Bombyx mori: one gene and its partners. The protein of the gene in region 1 interacts with the protein of each later gene in a pairwise test. Links are inferred from orthologs where the notes say so. Each region holds a gene or a part of one and is shown on either strand. Other genes may lie near its edges. The genes, in order: COPB2, COPB and COPA.

Region 1 (8,541 bases):
ACCACAAAGTCGACTAATGTCTGGTCTGAATCTATCATTGTTGAAGAAGTGTTGACAGAGTCTAGTTGTACTTATTTTGTCATATTTCTTTCCAGTATCAATGAACATTGAAAAAGTGGGTTAAAGATTATTATCGAATTAACATACATTGTCATTTAAATTATATATAGTTTTCATATAATAGGTTGTTCAATAAAATCTTGGCAACTTAATAAACTATCAAACTATTAACCTTATAATTATGTGCTATGAAGACTGAAGAAACGTAATAGATAAAATTTGAAATCTTCACTAATTTGTTCTTAAACAGGATAAAAATAATAAAAAGTCAATACATCCTGTTAATTGCCACCTAATAGTTATTTATAATACACTAAATAATTGACCAATTTAGAATAAAAGTATATTAAAAGAAGTTGCTTACTGTGCATTACTACTAAATAGATATGACATTAAAATAAAATAATATTTCTAATTTGTAACGATTTCATTACATTTTTTTCAGAGTAATTATTAACCTTTTATAAGAAATCTTAGAACGTAAGTTTGTATTATGGTACTGTCTATTTTTTTTGACTTTGGTAACATTGTGTAAAATAATTACTAACATGAAAATGACGGGCTCTATAAGTCCACATATACTTAATATATAAAGTACAACATGTTTTCATTAAATTATTGTTTTTTCTTTAAACATGTGGAATTACATGACAAACTTAGTTATCATGGAAGGTTGAGAAATAATGCTATGCTAAACATAAGTTCACATACCCAAAGACCCAATTCAGAAAATGTATAAACTTTGAAAAATAAAAAGACTGGATTATTAAAGGAACATAATGTTCAATATTATAATGAACTGTTGGTGAATGTCTCAAAAAGCCTATTCAAATGTATAAATATGCCAAATATTACAAGACTTGGGGCTCTGTGGTGTATAGTTTAGCCAAAAATATGTTTCCATGCTTTCATTACTTAAATTAGTTGAAAACTAAAATGATGTTTATTCATATTTTTAGATAATTATATAAATATGAAATACAAACAACTAGTTTCATTTGTGTGTTATTTCATTTTATTATCATTTTGTGGCCTGTTTCACGCCCAAACATAGATAATATAATTGTTATGATATAATTTTGTAAATCATAGGGTCAGTTTTACACGCGTGTAGCATCGTGCACTCCACAACATTTTCCCCACTACGTCTATTTTACACGTTTTCCTTTTATTGCTTACCGTGCTATATGTATTAGTTTTTAGTCTTTTTTTTCTTATGATAGCCTTGAGAGGCTATTTTAGCTTCTCCTTGACGTGTAGGTGAGCGCTCACGGGGTTCCAACCGGAATTGTTGCTAACACTAGTCCTAGCAAGAGCAGTGCTTCGGAGAATCTGCTACCGGATCGGAAACGCGACCCACTGAGAAGATCGACGAGAAATTCAGTGGAAAATTTTTAGTCTCAAGACAGCACCGCTCTACTATAATCGGCGCTCATCTCTGCGCGGTATAAATACAAACAGGCTAATGGATAGGACATTGTTAGTGATATCTGCAACCCATTGACGTTAGCGTAGCGTTTGAATTTTTATTTATTGCTTCGTTGGGTGAACGAGCTCACGGCCCAACTGATTTTAAGTGGTGGCCGGAGCCCCTAGATGTTACAACGTAAATGCCCCCACGTGCAACCCACCTTGGGACATGAGTTGTAAGGTCTCACTTTAAAAGTACAACGGCTGCCCCACCCTTCAAACCGAAACGCATTACTGCTTCACGGCAGAAATAGACAAGGTGGTGGTGCCTACCCGTGCGAACTCATAAGACGTCCTACCACCAGAATGTCCTAATAGGTGCCTTATTTATGTGAACCCGGTGCCCAACATGAGCTATGAGACAAAAGTATTTTAAACTCGTGGTCATGATACGCGCTAACACCAGTAAGAGGGACGGCACGAAGAAGGTGCCACCATGGAAGCAGAGTATTTACTTTGTATTAAATTTATTAATTCAGTCCACGATTGTGTTTGTCAAATGAAGTCATTTAAAAATGGCGTTACTGTAGCACAACTTCTAAATTAAAAAGGAAAGGCAAAGGTTTTATTATTATTAATAATATGCGATTTTTAAAATATAGATTTCATAACAAACGTATTTTTTTTTCTCTTAGGTACTATAATAACCATACATAATATTTATATCTTTATGATTTACGACTTCTCATAACTTTTTCATTAATTTCTATAACCAATCTCAATCTGTTTGGAAACTGCGTTCCTGAAATTTTTTGGCCATTGTTAGGAAGCAATCTTCCTTCTATTTTGAACAATTTTGTACTGGAAGAGTAAAAACCCATATGAGAGAATTTTCCTTTAAACTGTTTTTATGGGGAGATAATGTAACAGGAAGTAAAATGACCAAATTCACGTACTTATTTTCCAAACCAGAACATCCGAAAGAATGTTATCACGACTATTATTTTATGCTTTGGTAAGGAGTGGACGGCGAATAGTATGATTATTTTTATTGTTTAGCAATTATTCTTATTTACGTTACGTAATTTATGAGTATAAATTTACCTTCTAAAAAAGAAGATAATAACCTCTCAATTTCAAAATTTAGTTAAATGTAATTAATATTAATTTCACTAGAAACAGACGTTTCTTGTTGAACTATTAAAATCTAGAAAGAAAATGGAGGTCATATTACTGATCTGTGATGAAGATGTTATAAAAAAAAAAACAAACATAGAAACATAGATTTTGTAGTATTAAACTTTTTATTACATTTTATTTTCAGTTTTGTAGATAAAATTTTATTCTTTGCAATTTTTAATTTCGTATGGCTTAAAATGTCTCGTTGGGATGCGAAAGCCGTACTTAACCGCTAAATCGTAATAATTTCGCGTATCCGATAAAACCGGTTTTGAATAAATCTAAAGTGACACGTCCACCCACCCTGTCAAACATCTACTGGTCCTGTAAATCTGCATGACGATTTTCATGTTTTAACCATTAAAAATGGTAAGAAAACAATTTTTACACTGAAATGCGTTTAAGTGATCGATATTCCAAAGACAAGATTTTCGAAAAAGTTAAAGCCACGTAATGCGCAGTCGTCATCACTTTGTCATCTTTGTAATGTCGGCACTTGCGCGATGCAAAAATTCATTTGTAATTAAGGGTAGTTTCATGTGTTGAGTGCATTTATAACGTGGTATCGCTATGTTTCTGAAGCCTCTGCGTCTGGATATCAAGAGGAAGCTGACGGCGCGGTCGGACCGAGTGAAATGCGTCGACCAGCACCCGTCGGAACCCTGGCTGCTCTGCTCCCTGTATTCAGGAGACGTTAACATATGGAATTATGAGACTCACGCTCAAATTAAGAGATTTGAGGTCAGTTTATGTACAATATATTAATACAATATAGTATTTTGGTTTCAAAATAATTTTACAAAACTCAAATTCGTAGCTTATTTTCGAAAACAACTGTACTGTTTTGAAACCATAGTACTTAAACATTAAATGCGAAATGAAACTGTAGCCGATTTAATCTTCTAGTACTTCTAAGAAAAGTGTATTAAAAAGTATCTGTGTCTGTAAAATTTTATAATTTTACTGCCACTCACTGCTAAGCTAGCTCTAATTTAAGATAATTACATAGAACTTTGATCTACAATATATGGCTATAGCCAATTTAATTTCCTCCCATAGATAATCAATATTATAATATTTCATTTATAAAACAAATGAAGGGTCCTTATCATGATTTCATTCACCACATTGCAAGTCTTGAAAGACGCGAAGTTAAAACTTATAATTTATTTTGTAAGGTATTTTATGTAAATATGATCTTTATTCATAATCACAACATATTTTTGTGCAATTTCCTTGAATAATACAATAAATAAGAAATTCACCATAAACAAACAATAAAAACATAATTATTTACTATTCTGAACGTAATCTGGACTCCTGTTTCTATGAAACTGATTTCTTATTCAAACTTAATGTGTTAAAAATATTTTCCCTAAGTAACCTGATAATAAATATATATTTCTCTGTTATCTTTACATTACAAAACAATTAAGTTTTATCTGTTAAACAGTGACTGAAATAAAAATATTACATGGAATTTATTTATTTTAAAAGCTATGACTGTTTGTTAGAGATAATAATAATATGTTCTAAATATATGCAAAATTATATAAAAAATAGTCAGTTAAATTCTAAAATGTGAATAAGATATATCTAATGGAATGTTCTTTGTAATGAAAATTAAATTATTTAATTACCATTATAAAATTTCTTCTAAAGTATGTAGTGATTCACACTTGAATGATTTAAATTAGCCATGCACCTCTTTTTTTCTGACTAGTATAATTTTTATTGTCCTGGATGGTTTTGGCTATTAATGTTTCTCACTTGTTTCAAAATAGTTACTCACTGTTTAGACTGGAGTTTATTCCTGCCTTGTGTCAGATAAGAGTATTCAGAAATACTGCTCTAATAGTAATAGACAACCAGTGTAGTTCACAATTCCGTCCACCATGAGTGAGGTCAATTGTAATAAATGTTCTGCCTTTCGAAAGAGAATCCATATTTGCTTTGCTGTAGAAATAGGTAGAATGGTGACAGTTACTTGGATGGACCTACAGTATACTACCACTAGTAGTAGTAAGTAATTACATTAATTTATGACTATGGATCTTTGTTACTCAATATTATTATTTTCTCATAGCTCAAAAATAATCTGGAATATATAGCCACTCAAGGCCAAAATATTCATTAGCCTGACAGAAATTGTTAGTTTTCCCAGATTAAGATGTACATTGTATTAAGCTCTGCCATCAAAAACCTCCACAGTGAATTTACATCTAAAGTATTTATATTTTCTCTGGTCAACAGTACGAAACTGCATGCAAAAGCCCTGTTGATATGATTTGATAACTAGTACACCCAAGATGCTTTCAGCTTAGGTTGCAAAAGGTACTGCTTGAAGAGTGCATTCTCTGTACCAAGAAGGTAATGAATATTGGTCCAAGTAAGGTAATATTATGGTTGATGCTGTATTTGAGCCTCAATGAAGACATTTAATATTTTGGGATAGTCACCACTAATCTGAGTAGGTCTCATTGACTCCCCACCTGATATTAATAGTGATGATATTCCCTCATGGAAGTGATAAATATTAATAGCTCGACAAAAATTCATACTTGCCTGTGATATTTGAACATCAGAACACTTGTATCTCTTGAAATTATTACCAGAGGCATCTCATTTAGGTTTTGATGATTATAACTTCATTTCAGCTCCTCTGTAGTTTGGTTCTTGCACAAAAATTAAACGTAAAACTGTTCAACAATAGCAGCAGCGACACAAAAAAAAACTGAAGTAAAATTAAATAGTTTTCTAATAAAAGATATCAAGAATATTCATTATTTGTCATGATGGATGAATTATAGATTAATCATATATATTAGAATCGGTTCCAACTACTATTAATTATGAACCTGAATGATGACAGTTTCACCATTGAAAGTACTCATTGAATTGAAAGAAATCCATCATTATTAAATATGTAATATTATGAAATAAATCATGGAAAACTTGCACATAAACATGCTTTTTAGCATATAAGCTTTGATTCTTAGATTATAGCTATCTAAGATTATAGCAATAGAGAATCATAAGTAACAACAAATTTCAAAACACCATTAATTAATTGATAGCATATTGATTTATGCCAATAAAAGCATTTGAGTCAGTGAACTGAAACTCAGTTACATTATACTCTCTGAATGTGTTATGAAAGGTTCACATAATTTAATAGTTAATGTTTACCTACAGTCAACTTTGTTCTTAGCATATCTTTTTTATTGCGTAGATGGTCACACAATGAGGTCACAGTCCACTAAGACAAAATTAGTTAACAGAGTCCATAGACATCACCAGGTGAACGCTCCCAATAACTATGCGAAGTCTCCATTTAAATTGAATCACATGACTTCCAATCAGTAAAAATGGGAACAGCGGTACCTATTCATACAGGCTTATAATATATTTTACCAGAAAATTGATACACATCTATTCAGTAATTGCTACTTAAGTAGCTTTAAAGTGTGTCCAAGAATAGACTCCTTGTATGTGGCAAAGTTTTTATATTGTTAATGATAGGGACAACAGCTGTATTTAACATTGTTCTACTGTCAATGTTATCTCATTCATTGCTTAAGCATTCATCGGATAATTTGATTTTCCAGTAATCTTTAATAAAGATGAGAAATTGTGTTTTTGTTTTTATTTTCTTAATGATACGAACATAAATGGCTGCTCATTTGTAATACTTGAGAGTGCTTTGTTTTCCAGTACTTTTACCTAAAATAACCAAGCATTTTGTAGCAAAACACATACACACAACAATTGTACAATTGAGTTGAATTCTATGACACTATTGGATATTTAATAATTAAAGTCAGATAGATACCTTATTTAAATGAATTGATCATATGACTTTTATTAAAGCAAATATTTGGTGCATATGTTCATTGTACTATCAATACATATCAATATACTGTCCATCAATTGATTGATTGACTGTATTAGAGGGTTGTCAAGAGATTGAGCCTATACACTGTCTTCAACCTTGAAATATGATGTTGGAGTATTGCAGAGTACAATTGCCATGGGATAACTACTGTTCTATGTTTTAATCTTCATCAGTAATTACTTAAAAAATAACGTGATTGAAAATCATGTTTCTAAGAATACATTTTTTTTTGTATTTTCAAATGAATTCTGTGCTTTATACTCTCCGTATAAATTAAATTAGAGTAAACATCATTCTGTAAGTAAACCAAAATGCCTCCAATTACAATACATAGTAAATTTTATAATAATTCGTTTTATTTTAAACAGGTATGTGATCTCCCGGTGAGATCAGCAAAGTTTGTTCCCCGGAAGAACTGGGTGATAACTGGCTCAGATGACATGCAGATACGTGTATTCAACTACAACACCCTGGAGAGGGTTCACTCATTTGAAGCACATTCGGATTATGTGCGATGCATAGCCGTTCATCCCACACAACCGTACATATTGACTTGCAGTGGTGAGTACTTGAAAGAAATAGATGTACTTGTCTACAATTTGCATAAAAACAATCACAAATTCTGTTTTACTTGGTTTGATTTATTTTATTTAGCTTAATAATATATAAGTATGTTTGTCCGATGAAGTCTACAAAACCTTGGGTTTTATTTTAAAGCTGTTAAATGAACTTGAGGAATATTTAATTTTAATTGTAGCTTGTAAGATATAAGATAGTTTGAACTATTGAAAATAATTGTAGGGGTTTCTGATCTGTATCTAATTTTACTACACGGAAAGGAACAGAGAGAAAAAATATGATGAGCTTGGAATGACTTAGGCTTATCAAGCATTACATACTGCATATTGACAAAGAGAATTTAGAAAAAATACAGTATCAAATAAACACAATATTTCAGATGATCTCCTAATCAAATTGTGGAACTGGGACCGTAATTGGACATGTCAGCAAGTATTCGAAGGGCATACGCATTACGTAATGCAGATCGTTATCAACCCGAAGGATAACAATACCTTCGCAAGCGCAAGTCTCGACACTACTGTGAAGGTAGGAATAATGGCGACGTATTGACGCCAACTGCGTTAAGATCCTTTCTCTTGTTGACATAGATCAGTAAAGGCGATAAAGCTCTTGTGGTAATTAGTGCTTACAACGAGAATGTTGCCGCGTACTTTAGGACATGAGAGATGGTATCGGTTTCGTGGTTAACCATGGACTCTGAATGATGAATGGATTATGGGCAATGAGCACTGAAACTGATGGTGAGGAGTGTTAGCTCGCATGTGTAGGTACCACGAACCTGTCTCATCCTGCCGCGAAGCAGACATGCCATCTAGTTTGAAGGGTGAAATAATTAGCTTTTACACAATGTAATGGGGGCCTTGACCTCATGTCTGAAGGTATCCATAAAGGGACAACATTCACGTAACGATGTCTAAAATAGTTGAACTTTCTTAATGTTTATCGTACTATTTTTAGGTTTGGCAACTTGGTGCTTCTATATCGAACTTCACTTTAGAAGGTCACGAGAAAGGCGTCAACTGCGTGGACTATTATCATGGCGGTGACAAGCCCTACCTCATCAGTGGAGCTGATGACAGGCTCGTCAAAATATGGGATTACCAAAATAAGACATGTGTACAAACATTGGAAGGTAAGTTTTGATAGAAGATTGTGCGTTTCTTAGTCCTGCATTGATTTAATCCGAGCTTTAAAAAAATCAAATAAAAATATATATTCCTGGGACTTATTACGAGAAGTAGACGACAGAATGTCATCGGGTTGGGATGGGGCCTAAATACGCAAACATAACTTATCTCATTCTTGGACAGGTCATGTTCAGAATGTATCAGCAGTATCATTCCACCCCGAGCTTCCGATCCTGCTAACCGGTTCTGAAGACGGCACCCTCAGAATATGGCACGCAGGCACCTACA
Region 2 (7,893 bases), on another chromosome or scaffold:
TATTCAACTAGATAAATTATTGTGAAGATAATACTTAGTGAAGACATTTTTGAAACATGCGAAATTCACAAAATATCATTTGTACACTTCCAGCATACTTGAAATAAGATACTACTGTATACTAAGACTACTGGTGGTAGGACCTCTTGTGAGTCCGCGCGGGTAGGTACCACCGTCCTGCCTATTTCTGCCGTGAAGCAGTAATGCGTTTCGGTTTGTAGGGCGAGGCAGCCGTTGTAACTATACTGAGATCTTAGAACTTATATCTCAAGGTGGGTGGCGCATTTACGTTGTAGATGTCCATGGGCTCCAGTAACCACTTAACACCAGGTGGGCTGTGAGCTCGTCCACCCATTTAAGGAAAAAAAAGAGTAGTAGGAAGTAATAGGAGTAGTAGGTCTAGTACTTTATCGCAGTAAAAAATTATGTACGTATTTGTTACAAAACTACATTTTCGTGGCCCAGACATTGCCGTTGTCCATCCCCTTCTGTCATTTTTGATCTTACGATATAAATTGTTTTAAGGTTTATATTAAATAGTAAATGTTGAATTTGTTCCACAGAAATCGGACGCGCCACTGATGGGGCCCTCGACGCGGGCCGGTCGCGTCCTACAGTTTTGTAACCAATCCATTAACTTATTGCTATTATAATATGAACAAAATATTTTTATTATTTATACTTTTCCACGAAACGTCGTTAACAGCCTATGACGATACAATAAACTAATTTATTTCATAATTTGAATTTGTTTTAATCAACCCCAATTCCCCGACTTTGGTTATTTTACTTGCGTGAACAAATTTTCATTGTGGCTATGTACAAAAGTGTCGGGTGCCGTGCTAAGAGCCCCGTCATCTTTACTTTATAAATATATAGATCTACAGTGGTTTTTACGGATGTTCCGTTATAACTACTGAACCGTACATCCGATTGACTTGAAACTTGGTATCCATGTAGAAAATACACGTATCTACTTAATGGATAGGCTAATATTTAAATGAGTGTTGGACTCCCTAAAAATAATGACAATAAATAATAATGTTAATTTTAAATGCGCAGCGAAGCGGGCGAGTACGGCTAGAGTATTATAATTGGTCGCTCTGGTACGGTTGCATAAACCCTATTTTTTATTATGGTTCGATCTAACTAATATTTTGTAGCTATTCAAACAACGTGGACGGGAAGGTAAGCTCACGGGCTTAACCTGAAAGAATTGCTAAGACTAGCCCTAGCAAGAGCCGTGCTTCGCAGAATCTACCACCTGATCGGAATGGCGACCCACTGAGAAGATCCGGCGAGAAACTCAGTGTGTTAAAGCCCTCTGTATTCGAAGTAATATTTTTTTAATGGTGTGACCAATTTAGAATCCAAAAATACCTTAAAGTAAGTGGCCGACAGGAGAGGAAGAAAGATAAAACAAAAATTACTATACAGTTATATTTAGACTCAAACTAGCCGCTGCCCGCATCTTCGCCCGCGTGGTCGAGCAAAAGTGGCGGTGTAGTTTCCCGTGGGAATGAGATATTTTTTTTAGGATAAAAGATGTCCTATGCACGCTTGTAACACCTAATACTATCACTTTTTTTATTGCCCTTGTAGGCAGCCGACCATACAGCCAACCTGGTGGTGAGTGATTACCGTCGCCCATGGACTTCAGCAATGCCAGGTGCAGAGCCAGACCGCTGCCTACCGCAAAATCATAATGATCAATCAATCAAAAATCAAAATTATGTCAATGATTACTTCGTTTCTTTGTGAAAGAAGGACAAACAAACGAACATGCCTTCACATTTACATATTAGTATAGATATTTGTTTTTTTAGGAACATAAATGTGTTAGAGCGACTTATGGTTCGAATTTATTTCAATTTTTATTTAATTTATTTCTAAGTTGCATTATAATCGACAAGATGCGGAAAATCCCGACAAATATATTTTTAATAAATTAACTAATATGTAGATTCAAAAGTTTTTCTATAATTCCGCAACATAAACTATTGTTTTATTACAATATTTTCATTACAACTTTAAATCGTGTAAGAAATAATTTCTAGCGCTCTTCTTGTCTCTGTACATCTCTTTATTCTTGCTAGCATGATAGCACTGTTGTGGTCCCAACCACGTATCGGGAGGAGGGTTTACATTTTTTTTATTGCTTAGGTGGGTGAACGAACTCACAGCCCACCTGGTGTTAAGTGGTTACTGGAACCCATGGACATCTACAACGTAAATGCGCCACCCATCTTGAGATATAAGTTCTAAGGTCTCAGTATCGTTCCAATAATAAGATATGAATAGGACTTCACTATCACTATCATCACTACATAGTATGAAACAAAGTCGCTTTCTCTGTCCCTATATCTCTATGTATGCTTAAATCTTTAAGACTACGCAATGGATTTTGATGCGGTTTATTTTTAAAGGTAGAGTGATTGAAGAGGAAGGCTTATATGTATAATAACATCCATTAAGTGGTAGAAAAATCAATAATAAATTACAGTTCCCGAAGCGAATCTAGGGCGGGTCGCTAGTTAATAAATAAAAACGTCATGAAATAAAGATAATGTTTATAATTTTTATAATAACGAAAGTAAGGTAGGACGTCGGCGGTGGTCACATCAGCGGCGCTCAGGCGGCCGGCGTGGGGTCCGCGGGCTTCTGGTGGGAAGCCTTCTGCATCATGTTGATCTTGTCGCCCAGACTCAGCGCCATGCCCTGCCGACACACGCGCGGCTCAACCAGCGGCCCGGGGGCAACGCCCTCGCTACCGGCCCGACATACAGACGGTCCCTTACCGAACGCCATTGTTCTTTTTGGCGTAACTTAGCAATTTAGGCGGGAAGTAATTACAAATTAGTTCTAACTAAGTTTTTTTTATGATTCACAAAGGGTTGTGTAAAATTTTCGAAAAAGAAGAAAAATCCTAAATTGGTGCACGTGTCGCCCTCCGCCCCCCATAGTTAGCTGCGTCTGGGAGCGAGGGCACGTGTCGCCCTCCGCTCCCCGTAGTTACCTACATCTGGGCACGGGGGCACGTGTCGCCCTCCGCTCCCCGTAGTTACCTACATCTGGGCGCGGGGGCACGTGTCGCCCTCCGCTCCCCGTAGTTACCTACATCTGGGCGCGGGGGCACGTGTCGCCCTCCGCTCCCCGTAGTTACCTACATCTGGGCGCGGGGGCACGTGTCGCCCTCCGCTCCCCGTAGTTACCTACATCTGGGCGCGGGGGCACGTGTCGCCCTCCGCTCCCCGTAGTTACCTACATCTGGGCGCGGGGGCACGTGTCGCCCTCCACCCCCTGTAATTACCTAAGTCTGGGCGCGGGGGCACGTAGTTACCTGTGTCTTGGCCCGGATGCGCACGTGTCCGAGCACGGGCGCGCCGGGCTTGTGCAGCGGCCGCTCGATACTGAGGTTGGCGAGCGCGTCCTCGCCGAAGATGGACCGCGCGTATAGGTTGGCCGCCATGAACCCGCACTGCCCCGACAGCGCCTACCAGACACAACACAATTTTAATTTCAAAATTTTATGTGACAATTTGACGGTCCAGTCCACATTCCACCTTGCACGAAACATTATCAATGAATTGCTGTTTAGTCTCGTGTTTATTTCACTTTTTTTTAATATCACCTTTCAAGTTATCAGTAGATTAGATCGATCTGTATCAATACCACAGACTGCGTGGGTAAAATTTAATGACTTTAAACTAATTTGTAATTTTTTTTCAAATCACTGTTAATTTATTGGTACCTTATTTTAGCTTATTGTATCTACCACAGTCCTCAAGTATATATTTGTTTGAAGTCACTTAAGGAGGGGGGTTACCTTCTCGGGGGTCAGGCACTTCATGTTGGTGGAGGCGAGCAGATGCTGCAGGTACTCGTGCAAGTCCGTCATGTTGGTGTTCACGGAGACCTGCGGACAGTGGCTGGACGTTACAAACAGAACACAGAGCTCGGAACCAAAGATTAGTTTTTTGTTAAAACAACCGATAGTTTTGCGTCCTCAAGCTACTTTGGTAACCAAGTCGTTCCGCGACCGGCTCCGAGCCGAGACGTACCTTGTTCTCCCATTCGAATTCAGCCCACATTTGCCTGAAGTCGGCGTCGCTGCAGTGCGCCGGCTGGATGAAGTCGACAATGTCAATGTGGATGTCATTCAGCACGACCACGCCGCGGTCCATGGACGCTCCCGTCACTTCGTATACTGAAAATTTAATATTTTTACTTGCTTCGGCGTGTAGAGTGTATATGACACACAGGTTAGTTATGCCTAAGTTGGCAGACGCTGGCGCTTACCCGGGTGAGCTTACAACACTATAACCCATACTAAGGACAGTGGGATTCGTGAATTATGCAAATAGATAATATAATCCTACGCCCTGCGTCTGAAGTGCACTACTACTCCTTAACGTATTCACAAAACAATACGAATACTCTTCCTTTCCTTAAGTTAATGTTCAATGACCCCGCGCACGTACCCACGTTCCCGAAGATGACGCCATTCTCCGTGGAGGCGACCTTGACGTGCGCCCGCAGCGAGGCGAAGTCCCGCGGCGCCAGCACCACCTCGGCCGCGCGCTCCACCAGGCGCAGCTCGCCCAGCGTGGCCAGCTCCACGCAGCAGTTCTGCAGCGTGTCGTCTGCGGACCACGCACACTACCCGCTACTGCTTGTCGTACATTGCATCGCAGTTGTAAACAACGGAACTGCAGTAGGCTCGAAGGACCAACTTTTATGCATGAGCTTATCAGCGATTCATTGAACGATAATAATATGACAGCAAGGTGTTCGTAAGGCCCGGCAAATTATAAAAGCCTATATTTATTATAATAAAAAAAAATTAAAAACTTACATTTATGCGCAATGTATTTTCCCATGCAAACTTATACATTTTTGAGCATAAACTTGACTAGTTTTAATAAAATTTCTAACAACACTGGAGTTGCAAAAACATTTTTTTCAAATTAGTGGGAAAATGTTGGAAGATAGCGGCAAGAACGATATATAATAAAGTTTTGGTTTATTAATAAAGGAGTCTCATACCGGTCTGGTTGACGAGCAGCACGTCCAGCACGATGTCGTACTGGTTGACGGAGACGATGGCTTCCGCGTACACGGGGTCGGAACATCCTGTCAACTGGCGCACGCGGCACAACTTGCCGCGGTCGATTGCCTCGCCACCGCTGCGACCTGACAACAATCACTTTAAATCGTATCGAACTGGAAGAGGGTCGCCAACCAGTCGCGGCTGCGTGCCAGGGGAAGAACAGTGCAGAATCACTGAGGACCGTGGTGTTCATGGCGGACGAAATAATCTTATCAAATACACATTTTGAAGAGCACATCATGAAGTCGACAAACTCTGCGACTCAGCCGTTAGTCCTGTGGGAGTACCTTGCAGCGCCTTGTTGAGCGCCAGCTCGAACATGTCGTGCTGCGAGCCGGAGGCGCCGGCGCCGGCCAGCTGCGAGAACGTGATGCCCGTCTCGATCTCCACCTTCTGCTCCTGCCGTTTCGGTTCACGCTCCTGCCGTGGCCGATATTACGTCTTATTAACTGATGTCTTTAAGCGTTAACATAAATCACATTTTACACAACTAAGTGAGACAAACGTAAGATGAGATTTCACTAGAAGAAAATTTAGATTATATTTGTGCATATGTGTTCTTGATTCGTTTAAAATTTTCTTTGGGTTTAATAGGATGAAGGAGTACAGGAATGTTCTCTTTGCTTTTGCAGATCGGTAACACATGCGAGATAAGGGCCAGATTATCAGTTACGTGGAGCCTGGGCTGTACCTTGTCGACGTCCTCCAGCAGGTGCGGCTCGCGGTCCGGGAGCGCCAGCAGCGCCGCCAGCGCCGCGTCCGACGCGTCCAGCAGCGCGCGCCGCACGTCCGCGCCGCCCGCCCCGCCCCCCAGCCCCGCGCCCGCCAGCCCCGCCTGCACGCACAGCGCCGCGTGCTCCATGTCGTCCGCCGTCAGCCCGCCGCGCTGCCCTGCGCGACAACACGACGGTGAGCGCTCGCCCGGCCCCCCCCACAGCACCGGTGTGGGCGAGGACTCACCTGCGTTCTGCTTGTGGCGCGCCAGCAGGACGGCGGCCAGGTGCAGCGCGCGGGCCGCCTCCTGCCGCGGCAGCTTCAGGGCCAGCTTGGCCAGCGCCGAGCACGCGCACACCGCCGTGAAGCTCTCGCCCTCCAGCAGTGCGCCGCCCAGTCTCGCACCGCCCTCCGCCGCGCCGCCCTCCGCCGCACCCGACCTGCACGCACACGGCACTAGGAACACAATCATTACACTACAAATAACAAGTATGGGCCGTCGCGGCACTCACGCGGGCAGGTTGAAGGCGGACTGCGTGGCGTAGGTGCCGTCGCTGGTGACGAGGCGGCGCGGCGCCGCGGCCGGCCCGCTCTCCGGCTGCTACAAGCACACAGAGATGAGTCGGGTCCGCTTGTGGCGCTGTGGTGGCGGGTGTGACGTCACTACCTGCGTGTCGGCGGCGCCCTCGATGACGTCGGCGAGCACGTGCAGCGCGGCGCGCGCGCGGCCCGGCGTGTCGGCGAACTGCGCGAGCAGCCACAGCGCGGCGCGGGCCGGCCTGCCCACGCGCACGCTGCGCACGGACTCCACCAGTTTCTGCGACACGAGGCGCGCTGTAGTGTGTGCTGTCTCGGCATCACAACGTTATGATATCTTGGATCGACTAATATAAACAAATACATTTTGCAGAACTATTGAACCTATAACCGCTGCGTTCATCCAGTGCGTTTCCAGAGATATTTTTTGCCACGTGCCATCCGGCAACGAGCTCCCCTCCACGGTGCTTCCCGAGCGCTATGACATGTCCTTCTTCAAACGAAACTTGCGGAAAGTATTTAACGGTAGGCAGCGGCCTGGACTTCGAAGACATGAATCCCAGTGTACTTACTACACAGGACCATTCATAGAATATGGTCTGTATCTAGAACTAACCGAAAGCTGTATTCTCCCATCACACTACTCGCCACCTAGTACCCCGTGGCCAGTGGTCATGTTTTACCAAGCCATGTAGGTGCAATTGTTTTCGATGGGTATTTTTCTATTAAAACAATATCTAAAGTCAAAACGACTCTTCCTCCTCGTGGGGTCACCGACCCATCTACAAACCCAAGGACCCAAATACAACAAAATGGGTGAACAAAATATAAGGCGAAGAGCCGTAGTGCTCGTCCAGTTGAGCAGTACGGGGCGGGGAGTAACCTGGTAGATGTGGTCCCTGAGGTCGGGGAAGGCGTGCAGCGCGTGGCGCAGGAACAGCAGCACGTCGTGCGCCGCCGCCTCGCTGCCCTCGCCCAGCAGCTCCAGCAGCGCCGGCGCCACGCTGCCAGCCACCTCCGGGAACTGCGGGACGCAACGGACTTACGCAGCACGCCCACCACTACCCAGCTTTATGACACAATGTTATTCCGTCACAGTTCAGTCATTCGTGAACATGAGATAACTACGTACTTCATTAGACATATGTGTACTTGTCTGTGGGATTCGAACTCCGGCAAAGTCACATGAATCAGAACTAAAGAGCAAAATGAAATTAATTGAATTAAAGTGAAACTTTTATTATATCGTCTCAAACTTTTTCGTCTGTGTGTTGCATGTCGCGTGACGGTCAGCCGCGGAGTAGGGAGAAAGTGCAAGGCGCTCGTCAGAGCAGCCAAGGCCAATATGGCGGCGCCTATAGTTCGCAGCAGCTGACCGTGTAGTATATAACTATTACTGATTTGTGCCAGTGCTCCACGCTATTTTGTTTGTTTTTGTCAGTGTTTAATGTAAATTTTGTTAGTCAGAGTAAAATGTCTATAATGTGAAAAAAGTTTCACTTTTACTGTGGTTTCATAAAACCACACAATCC
Region 3 (8,322 bases), on another chromosome or scaffold:
GGGCCAACACAGAGGATTAGGCATTGTACAGTTCTTGGATTTACAACTGTTACTTTTGCGGTTACTATGTCACCTGTGTTGGGTAAAACACTTGGTGTTCTTGAACTTTCTACTGAAATTATATTAGCCTAAAAAATTTTCAATCATTAGTTTAATTTATAGGTTTTTTCATTTGTTTCATTTTCTATTTTGTTGAAATAGAATTCTGGGGTGAATTTAGAATTTCATCTGCTATTGCATAAAAAAATATTCTGCTGCTAAAAGAAGCGTCTGCTTGAAATAGTGAGCAAGCCTAAACTAAAGACCATAAAACCGAGTGTCCATAAGTGTCTTCTACAGGCAGTAAATTCCATATGATATACCTGTTAAGCTACAGTACCTATCTTCGTCCATGGTAATGTAGTGTTTTGCAGAGCATATTTATGGGCATTTTAAGTCACAATTAAAGAGGCACGGATGACGGTTGCAATAAAATCGTTTTAGCAATCAGTGGCAGCTTATACAAAGACTGTAACGTTATTTACTTTGGTGTTTTCATCCTCTTCTGTTTTCAAGATTCCAGCTAAAGCCGCATAAATATATCCTTTCAATTCATAGGTTCCCGGCCCTGATACGTTGTCTTTGTTTGATAAACTCAGTCGCATTCCAGGAATACATATTGAACCTATTTCTTTTATTTTTTCTTCCAAATTCATAATGTAGTAGAGGTTAGAATTTACAATTTAACTTGAACTACAACTTAAAGTTCGGTTAGATTATTTTCGTCACAGCTAAAACGTGTCTTTAATTGTAAACTGTCTTATAATAGTGTGTTGAACTGTGTTGTTTATTAATTCCAGTTACAGTTTGTTATTTGTTATGTACATAAGTTAAGATCACAGAACACTATTACTTCTAGCGAAGATAAGATTCTCAAATAAATTAGGTGTATAATCTATGGTTATGATCTTTTTTTTAATCGCGTAGTGAAATCATAGATTATACAAAAGTGCAAATGTTTTTTTGTTCGTTCTTTGATTAATTAAGTAAAAGAAACAAAGTTTATAGAGCTTAATCATTTCGTAATAGAGGGTGACATTTCTTCCATGAAACGTACAACGCAACGAAATCAATTTTTATTTAAATTGTTGAGATGTGACATTCCCTTTGTAAAATCCCGGATAACTCAGTCAGAGCATGAGACTCATAATCTCAGAGTCGTCATTCGAGACCCACGTTGGGCTATTTACATTTTGATCTCAGGTAAGCTTTTCTCCACGTGCCCCTTAGGTGCGAGGACCTTGTAAACCAAGAATAATAAAAATATTTGCGTTGTCGACTGGTACTACTGGAACTAATGTGGATTTACTGTAGATCATTCATTGGTGGTGTGAGCCAGCACAAGCAAATACCAGTACTCTGCCTATTCAATTATTCTGTCACGAAGCAGTAATGCATTTCTGTATGAAGGATGGGGCAGCTGTTGTACTTTAATACTGAGACTTAAAACTCATATCTAGGGATCGATAGTGGCATTAAGGTTACGATGTCTCTGGGTTTTATTTCAGAAAGAAATTATAAAGGACTTGGCTTCTGCCTTAATGATTTTTTTATTTCAGGATATAATATAAATCATATAAGACCTGGCTTCGGCTTTTTTGAAAATTCATTTTAGAAATTATATACAACACACAAGGCTGTATGGGTTTAGATCCCCTTGCCTTTCCTAATAAGGAAAAATTGAATCAAAAAATGTCTATGGGCTCTAGTGACCACTTAATACCAGATGGGCCTGGACTTTGTCTCGTCTCTCACTCGTCTAAATAATTAAAAAATATTGTTGCAGTAAGCAATGGCGTTGCTGGCTTTCCACTTTACTACTTTGACTACTTACCAGGTGGAACGTGTGCTCGTCTCCCTACCACGGAAAAAACGTTAGTAAGGAAGAGGGTACCACCACCACTACCACCAGTATTTGTTTTTCCTCTATTATTTCATCTACTAAAATATCATAATCGACTTGGATGATGCAAAATATTCTCACTTATTTTCGTAAAATCTTACTAGCCATAATAATATATTTTATCTACATAATTAATTACTGATTATTGTTAGTGCTACGATATGGTTCGTGAAAATCTATGTTATACTGACATCTAAGTTGAAATAAATGATTTTTGAACCTTATTTATATTATTAACTCAAAACACTCACAGCTAACATCGTCTTGGCTTATAGGATAAGACATCCGGTGCATTCGTGTTGAGCGATGCACCGGTGTTTCGAATCCCAGGCGGGTACCAATTTTACTAATGAAATACGTACTCAACAAATGTTCACGATTGACTCCCAAGGTGGAGGTATAACATCGTGTAATAAAAATCAAACCCGCAAAATTATAATTTGCGTAATTACTGGTGGTAGGGTCTCTTGTGAGTCCGCGCGGGTAGGTACCAGCATTAGTTCTGCCGTGAAGCAGTAATGCGTTTCGGATTGAAGGGTGGGGCAGCCGTTGTAACTATACTTGAGACCTTAGAACTTATATCTCAAAATGGATGGCGCATTTACGTTGTAGATGTCTATGGGCTCCAGTAACCACTTAACACCAGGTGGGCTGTAAGCTCCTCCACTCATCTAAGCAATAAATAAAAAAGCTAACCATTGATTCATCAGGAAAGATAAATTTAACTCAACCAGGCTACCCGACTCTCAAAGTTTTTTAATAACGCTAATTATACTGATGATTACAACCATTAAGAAGATACGAAATATGTGATTTTAATTGGTGTGTTTATTCGTTTCCATTCAAAATTAGTTAATGATTTGATCAAATTAACATCGATAGTTTTGTTCAGATTTGTCGATATTTTCAATTTTGATCAATTACAAGCTCAGCACTATTCTGTGTTGGACGTGTCACGTCAGCCGGTTGGCTGTCATTGCGCTTGTTTTAATTTTTGTAGTTTTTCGTATTATTTCAGCGGTGTTTGAATCAAAATGTTAAAAAAATTCGAGACGAAGTCTGCGCGGGTGAAAGGCATATCGTTTCATGCTAAGCGACCATGGGTGCTGGCTAGTTTGCACAATGGTGTGATTCAACTTTGGGATTATCGTATGTGTACATTACTTGAGAAATTTGATGAACATGATGGTCCAGTACGTGGAATTTGCTTCCATATTCAACAGCCTCTTTTCGTGTCGGGCGGAGATGACTACAAGATTAAGGTATAAGCCCTAATATGCCGTTAGTTCTTTTGCTAGTATAATTACAATTATTGTTGATATTAATCTGTCATGCTTTTGACACGTATTCCGGGCATGGAATGTTTGGTTTTGTGCATCTTTGCGAAGGCGAAATGTTTTTAGATTTTAATAATTTTATAAGTAAGCTAAGATTAAGACAATGTTATTTTGTTTAGTTTCAAAATTTAAAGCACTGATATTACAAATTTTAACCATTTTTGTTTTGATAAAGAACTGATTCGTTAACAAAACTTAGGTTTTTATAATTTCAAGTATTTTGTCCAAATGCATGCAACAAAAATGCCCTTCTAAAGCTAGTACTGTATAATGCGTTTATTGAAGTTTGAACACAATGTGAATGCTACTCACTGCCTATATTTATATACTAGAACCAAAGTTTCTATTTTATTAGAATTATGTGGAATATTTTTGGTAAAAACAAATTTTAAGAATTTAAACTAGCAGTAAGCCGACTTCACCTAATAGGTGTGTGGCTCTAATAAAGAATAAATAAATGAAAAAGGTAGCAGTAGATGGGAGAGTGGTACCATATTATCTCATCTCATGTGAGCTTGCAACTCTTCATAAATACTGAAAATAGGAATTAGAGAAAGATTTAGGTTGGAAAATAAGCCGAGGTTATTATTACAGTGGATAAGCTATTGCCATTCATTATTAAGATCTGAGATAGGGTTTCGTTGAGTGGATTTGAATTGTTGGATGTGTTTATTGTTTGCATAAATAAATAAATAAGTACACCATGGAGAAGTACTTGAAGTAGTTTGAAAAGGTTGTAGTCTAAAATAAAAGTAATTGCACATAATTACACAACAATTAAAATATTTTTGTCATTAAAGATTTCATTCTTTTACTAACTAAATTCTACTTTATTTATTTTTTATTATGTGTTTTAAAATAACTCACAGCAAACATTTTTTGTAGTGACTACATCTACATAGGATACTAGAGTATTAGAAGCATAGATGTTAAAACATGCATCACTTACGGTAGAATATGAGTTTGAAGTATCAATTAAATTATTGTAAAGGCTGTTTTACTGTTGTGTCAGAACGCATAACTGGTCTGTCCCAAAAATAGTCAGTTGTATATAATCATGCACTTTAATGATGTGTTTTAGCACCTGTAAGACTATGTAGTGTAGAGCTATGGAATTGAAAATAATTGAAATCATTTAAATTTGTATTATATATTGTGTTTGAAAAAAATTAATAATGCTGAGACTTTCAAGGAAGCCATACTTGCAGTATATATAACTATAAAGGTTTTATTTACATCTCAATTTACTTTTCATAATTCACAAAAGGTTTTTTAAATACATTTAAACCTTAAAAAGCTAAGCTTTAGCCGGAATGGTTTGACTATTTTGTAATGGCTTTTGATTTCTTTTCAACAAGATCCCACTAAACGTTCAACTACTACCTGTTCATAGATTTAAGAAAACTGTTAAGGAATGTTTGTGCAACAAGGCATATTATAAAGTTAAGGATTATTTACTAGATGGCACTACGTGGGAATGAGGCGCTCGCTCCTGGCCTTTTCATTTTTCATTATTAATATTATTATTTTTATTGTATTTTTTTGACTTGTTTTTTCTTTTATTGTGAATATTTCTATTTATTTAAAAAAAAAGAAAATATTTGAGAAAAAACAAAAAAAAAAGCCCGCTGAGTTTGTTTCGCCGGTTTTTCTCAGGACTGTGGCTTTTTTTGGAACTGGTGGTAGAGTTAACATTGTTATTTGTATTTTGACATTCAACAAGTGTGTCATACTGACATCTAAGTTGAAATAAATGATTTTGAATTTGAATTTGAATTTGATTATGATATTAACACAATTTTTTTTTATCAGGTCTGGAACTACAAACAAAGAAGATGTCTATTCACATTGCTTGGTCACTTGGATTATATACGTACAACATTCTTCCATCATGAATACCCATGGATTTTAAGTGCATCTGATGATCAGGTAACTAAATTCATTGTTTAAAGCATATCTGTTTAAGTAAGCATTTCATAAACAGGCTAAATTTTACTAAATAGATTGTACATTTTTTTGCAACTAAATTATTTAGGCATCATAATTTTTACGATGAAACTAATGAACTTGCTACTTAATTAATGAATGAATTAAGTGTAATTTGTATAATAAATAATATATTCATTTTTATTTACTAGAAGATATTCAAATATGTACATACAATACAATAATCCACCATTGTAGGTAACCAGATCATGGGCTGCATACAAAATTATTAACAGCTATCAAATTACTTTTGTTGCATTAGTGCATCAGTAGTATTTGTAGAGGTAATAAAAAAAAATTAACTTTTGTAGTTTAATCTCATGTATATTATTGTGATTATGTTATGTAATTTTAAAACATTGTGCTGTCTATTTAGTAGCCTAAAAAAATCAATTTATTGCTTTATTTCAGACCATAAGAATTTGGAATTGGCAGTCTCGACAATGCATAAGTGTTCTCACCGGCCACAACCATTATGTAATGTGTGCTCAATTCCATCCCACTGAAGATCTTCTTGTTTCTGCTTCATTAGACCAGTCTGTAAGAGTCTGGGATTTCTCTGGACTGAGAAAAAAGAGTGTTGCTCCAGGACCTGCTGGACTGACTGAACACTTAAGGAATCCACAAGCAACAGATCTTTTTGGACAGGTAACGCTAGTGGTTGGTCAATTGGTGTCACTGCTTTCATCAGGGATTATGGCTATGCATTCAAAATATCCGAGGAAGTAATGGTGATCCCGAAGTTAGGGTTAATCTACAAGATGTCCATATGTTTAATTTTCTTTAATCACAGCATGACACTATGTGTCGACTATGTACTGAATAATGTTTTTAAATTATCTTTATTGGGATTTTGGTGAGTTAAAATAATTCTTTGAAAATGAAAAATATATACCCAGCATATATTATTGATTTGTAAATATGTATTAATTATATTTTGTTTGTTTTATTGTAATTATTTACTTTTAACCAGTATCTATTGAATATCTACTTGTACTAACATCCCAAAACGATCCAAATACATCCTTTTTATTTGATCCAAACCTCCATACACAATCATCCAATCATTCTTTGTAAATATATTTTCTGTTCATCTCATTCAAACAAAAAACAGCTATTTGTTATTATGATTTTTTATTTTATTTAATTAATTATTTTTATTAATCAAAATCCCTGCGGTTCCGTTGCTAAAGCAACTGTACATGCAGGCTGATGCTGTTGTGAAGCACGTCTTGGAGGGCCACGATAGGGGTGTAAACTGGGCCTGTTTTCATCCTACTTTACCATTGATCGCATCTGCTGCAGATGACAGACAAGTGAAGCTTTGGAGAATGAATGATTCTAAGGTAAGGCTTTAGTGTATAGTTTATGAAGGTCATTGTCACCAATAATGTCTGACAAATACCTTATTAATAAATAAGCATATGTACATCTCTTTAATAACTACTAGATTAATGAACCAAATTAAATAAAGAAATTATTTTAATTTAGGAAAATTATTAAATATAAACAAAGTGCCATGCCAACCCCACCTAGTGGGATAAGATGGAGAAAAAAAAATTAAATATAAACAAAGTCAGTCTGTTCAAGAATACGGAAATTATAAGCTTCATTATATCATCTGGAATAATGACGTCATAGTTTATAGCCGCCTAACAAATTAGCGAAAATCGATTTGCAGGAAAGTGACAAAGCATTCTGTCTGAGTCCGATTAAAATATTTAAAAGCTATCTGTCTGAAAACCTTATTTATTTTAATTATTTCATAATAATAAATGATAAACTATTTCATGCAGCGCAAGACCAGTCTTTGTGGCGAGGCTTGGGGGAGGCCTATGTCCAGCAGTGGACATCCATGGGCTGATAGAATAGCATAGAAAAAAAAACTATTTCTACAATTCATATAATAATGTCCAATATGTTTATACTAAATTTCTAATAAACTTGAAGTTGAGTACTGAATGCCGAGACTAGCTGCTATCCACAAAATTACCTCTCAAGATCACTTTGCCAATGATATACCACCACTTCCTAGAAGTAAACCACCCTCACCAAACACCTCAGTGGTTCCCCACATGCAATGATGTACTCAGAGTTTACAACTTGAATTATATGCCACTTTTCCAGGCCTGGGAAGTGGATACATGTCGCGGCCACTACAACAATGTCTCCTGTGTTTTGTTTCACGCGAAACACGAACTCATCATATCTAACAGCGAGGATCTTTATATCAGAGTTTGGGACATGTCTAAAAGGACCCTCCTGCAGTCCTTTAGAAGGGAACACGAGAGGTAAACGAATTATTTTATCGTGAAGCTGGTTTGATCTTCTTTCTCTTCAGGTCGTAAACGGGATATTTTTTAGAAATTTCAACTGTTAACGTATGGGTTTCCGAATCTTAATAATTAGACCTGATTTTCGAAAATTGGAATTTCCTAAAAAATTGGATTGGAAATTGGAATTTTCTTAAAAACTTTACAGGGGTAACAAACAAAATTTATTTTTATGGCGTAATAGGTTTTGGCAGAGGGAGGAAGAGGGGGGACAGCCGTTAGTAAAATACAATTGCGTCTTCGATCTCCATGTCTATGGGTTGCGGTAACCACATAACCTTATGTTAGAAATGGACATTGAAAAAAATGGGTGCGGCATTTTTTCGAAAAGTATTGATATTGTACCTCCTCCTTCGATCGGTCATTGCTGAGCATCGTGATGCGCCCGCCTGTGACCTTTTTTTGTAATTTGTAGCCACTTTTGTCAGTCAGTGGCACAGTGAAGTGCGTGGCTCAGTCTCATGTTCAGATGCTCGGACACTTGGTCACTCCATATTTTTCGGCTCCGACCTCAGGATCGTCTTCCATCTACTTTACCCGTCACTATGAGTCTCTCCAGGTTGTCAGAGGGTTTTCTTGCTATATGACCAAAATATTGGAGCACTCTCTATATAGGCATTTGGTGGATATTGTACATTGGAAATTGTACAAACAGTGTCAATTTGACAGGTACTGGGTGTTGACGTCCCACCCCACGCTGAACTTGTTCGCGGCGGGACACGAC

Evidence for each region.
Region 2: the proteins of COPB2 (region 1) and COPB interact in a two-hybrid assay, tested with the Homo sapiens proteins (2 studies listed by BioGRID, with this or other methods). The link is inferred for Bombyx mori from reciprocal best matches to the Homo sapiens genes COPB2 and COPB1.
Region 3: the proteins of COPB2 (region 1) and COPA interact in a two-hybrid assay, tested with the Homo sapiens proteins (2 studies listed by BioGRID, with this or other methods). The link is inferred for Bombyx mori from reciprocal best matches to the Homo sapiens genes COPB2 and COPA.

The regions. Positions count from the first base shown.
Region 1 is NC_085107.1:19,808,946-19,817,486, reverse strand, and holds the start of COPB2 (coatomer protein complex subunit beta 2), read left to right. Parts: upstream 1-2,885; 5' UTR 2,886-3,015; coding exon 3,016-3,018; intron 3,019-3,204; exon of another isoform or gene 3,205-3,219; coding exon of another isoform or gene 3,220-3,231; coding exon 3,232-3,390; intron 3,391-6,912; coding exon 6,913-7,105; intron 7,106-7,502; coding exon 7,503-7,651; intron 7,652-8,083; coding exon 8,084-8,258; intron 8,259-8,436; coding exon 8,437-8,541. UniProt on the Homo sapiens protein: The coatomer is a cytosolic protein complex that binds to dilysine motifs and reversibly associates with Golgi non-clathrin-coated vesicles, which further mediate biosynthetic protein transport from the ER, via the Golgi up to the trans Golgi network.
Region 2 is NC_085119.1:977,235-985,127, forward strand, and holds the end of COPB (coatomer protein complex subunit beta), read right to left. Parts: intron 7,386-7,893; coding exon 7,245-7,385; intron 6,642-7,244; coding exon 6,492-6,641; intron 6,426-6,491; coding exon 6,337-6,425; intron 6,265-6,336; coding exon 6,071-6,264; intron 6,002-6,070; coding exon 5,802-6,001; intron 5,531-5,801; coding exon 5,398-5,530; intron 5,194-5,397; coding exon 5,047-5,193; intron 4,644-5,046; coding exon 4,482-4,643; intron 4,208-4,481; coding exon 4,062-4,207; intron 3,917-4,061; coding exon 3,827-3,916; intron 3,494-3,826; coding exon 3,341-3,493; intron 2,719-3,340; coding exon 2,632-2,718; 3' UTR 2,559-2,631; downstream 1-2,558. UniProt on the Homo sapiens protein: The coatomer is a cytosolic protein complex that binds to dilysine motifs and reversibly associates with Golgi non-clathrin-coated vesicles, which further mediate biosynthetic protein transport from the ER, via the Golgi up to the trans Golgi network.
Region 3 is NC_085132.1:3,506,837-3,515,158, reverse strand, and holds the start of COPA (coatomer protein complex subunit alpha), read left to right. Parts: upstream 1-2,865; 5' UTR 2,866-2,976; coding exon 2,977-3,204; intron 3,205-5,091; coding exon 5,092-5,208; intron 5,209-5,676; coding exon 5,677-5,913; intron 5,914-6,458; coding exon 6,459-6,611; intron 6,612-7,392; coding exon 7,393-7,556; intron 7,557-8,267; coding exon 8,268-8,322. Other genes in the region: exosome complex component CSL4, read right to left, coding at 1-128, 525-695. UniProt on the Homo sapiens protein: The coatomer is a cytosolic protein complex that binds to dilysine motifs and reversibly associates with Golgi non-clathrin-coated vesicles, which further mediate biosynthetic protein transport from the ER, via the Golgi up to the trans Golgi network.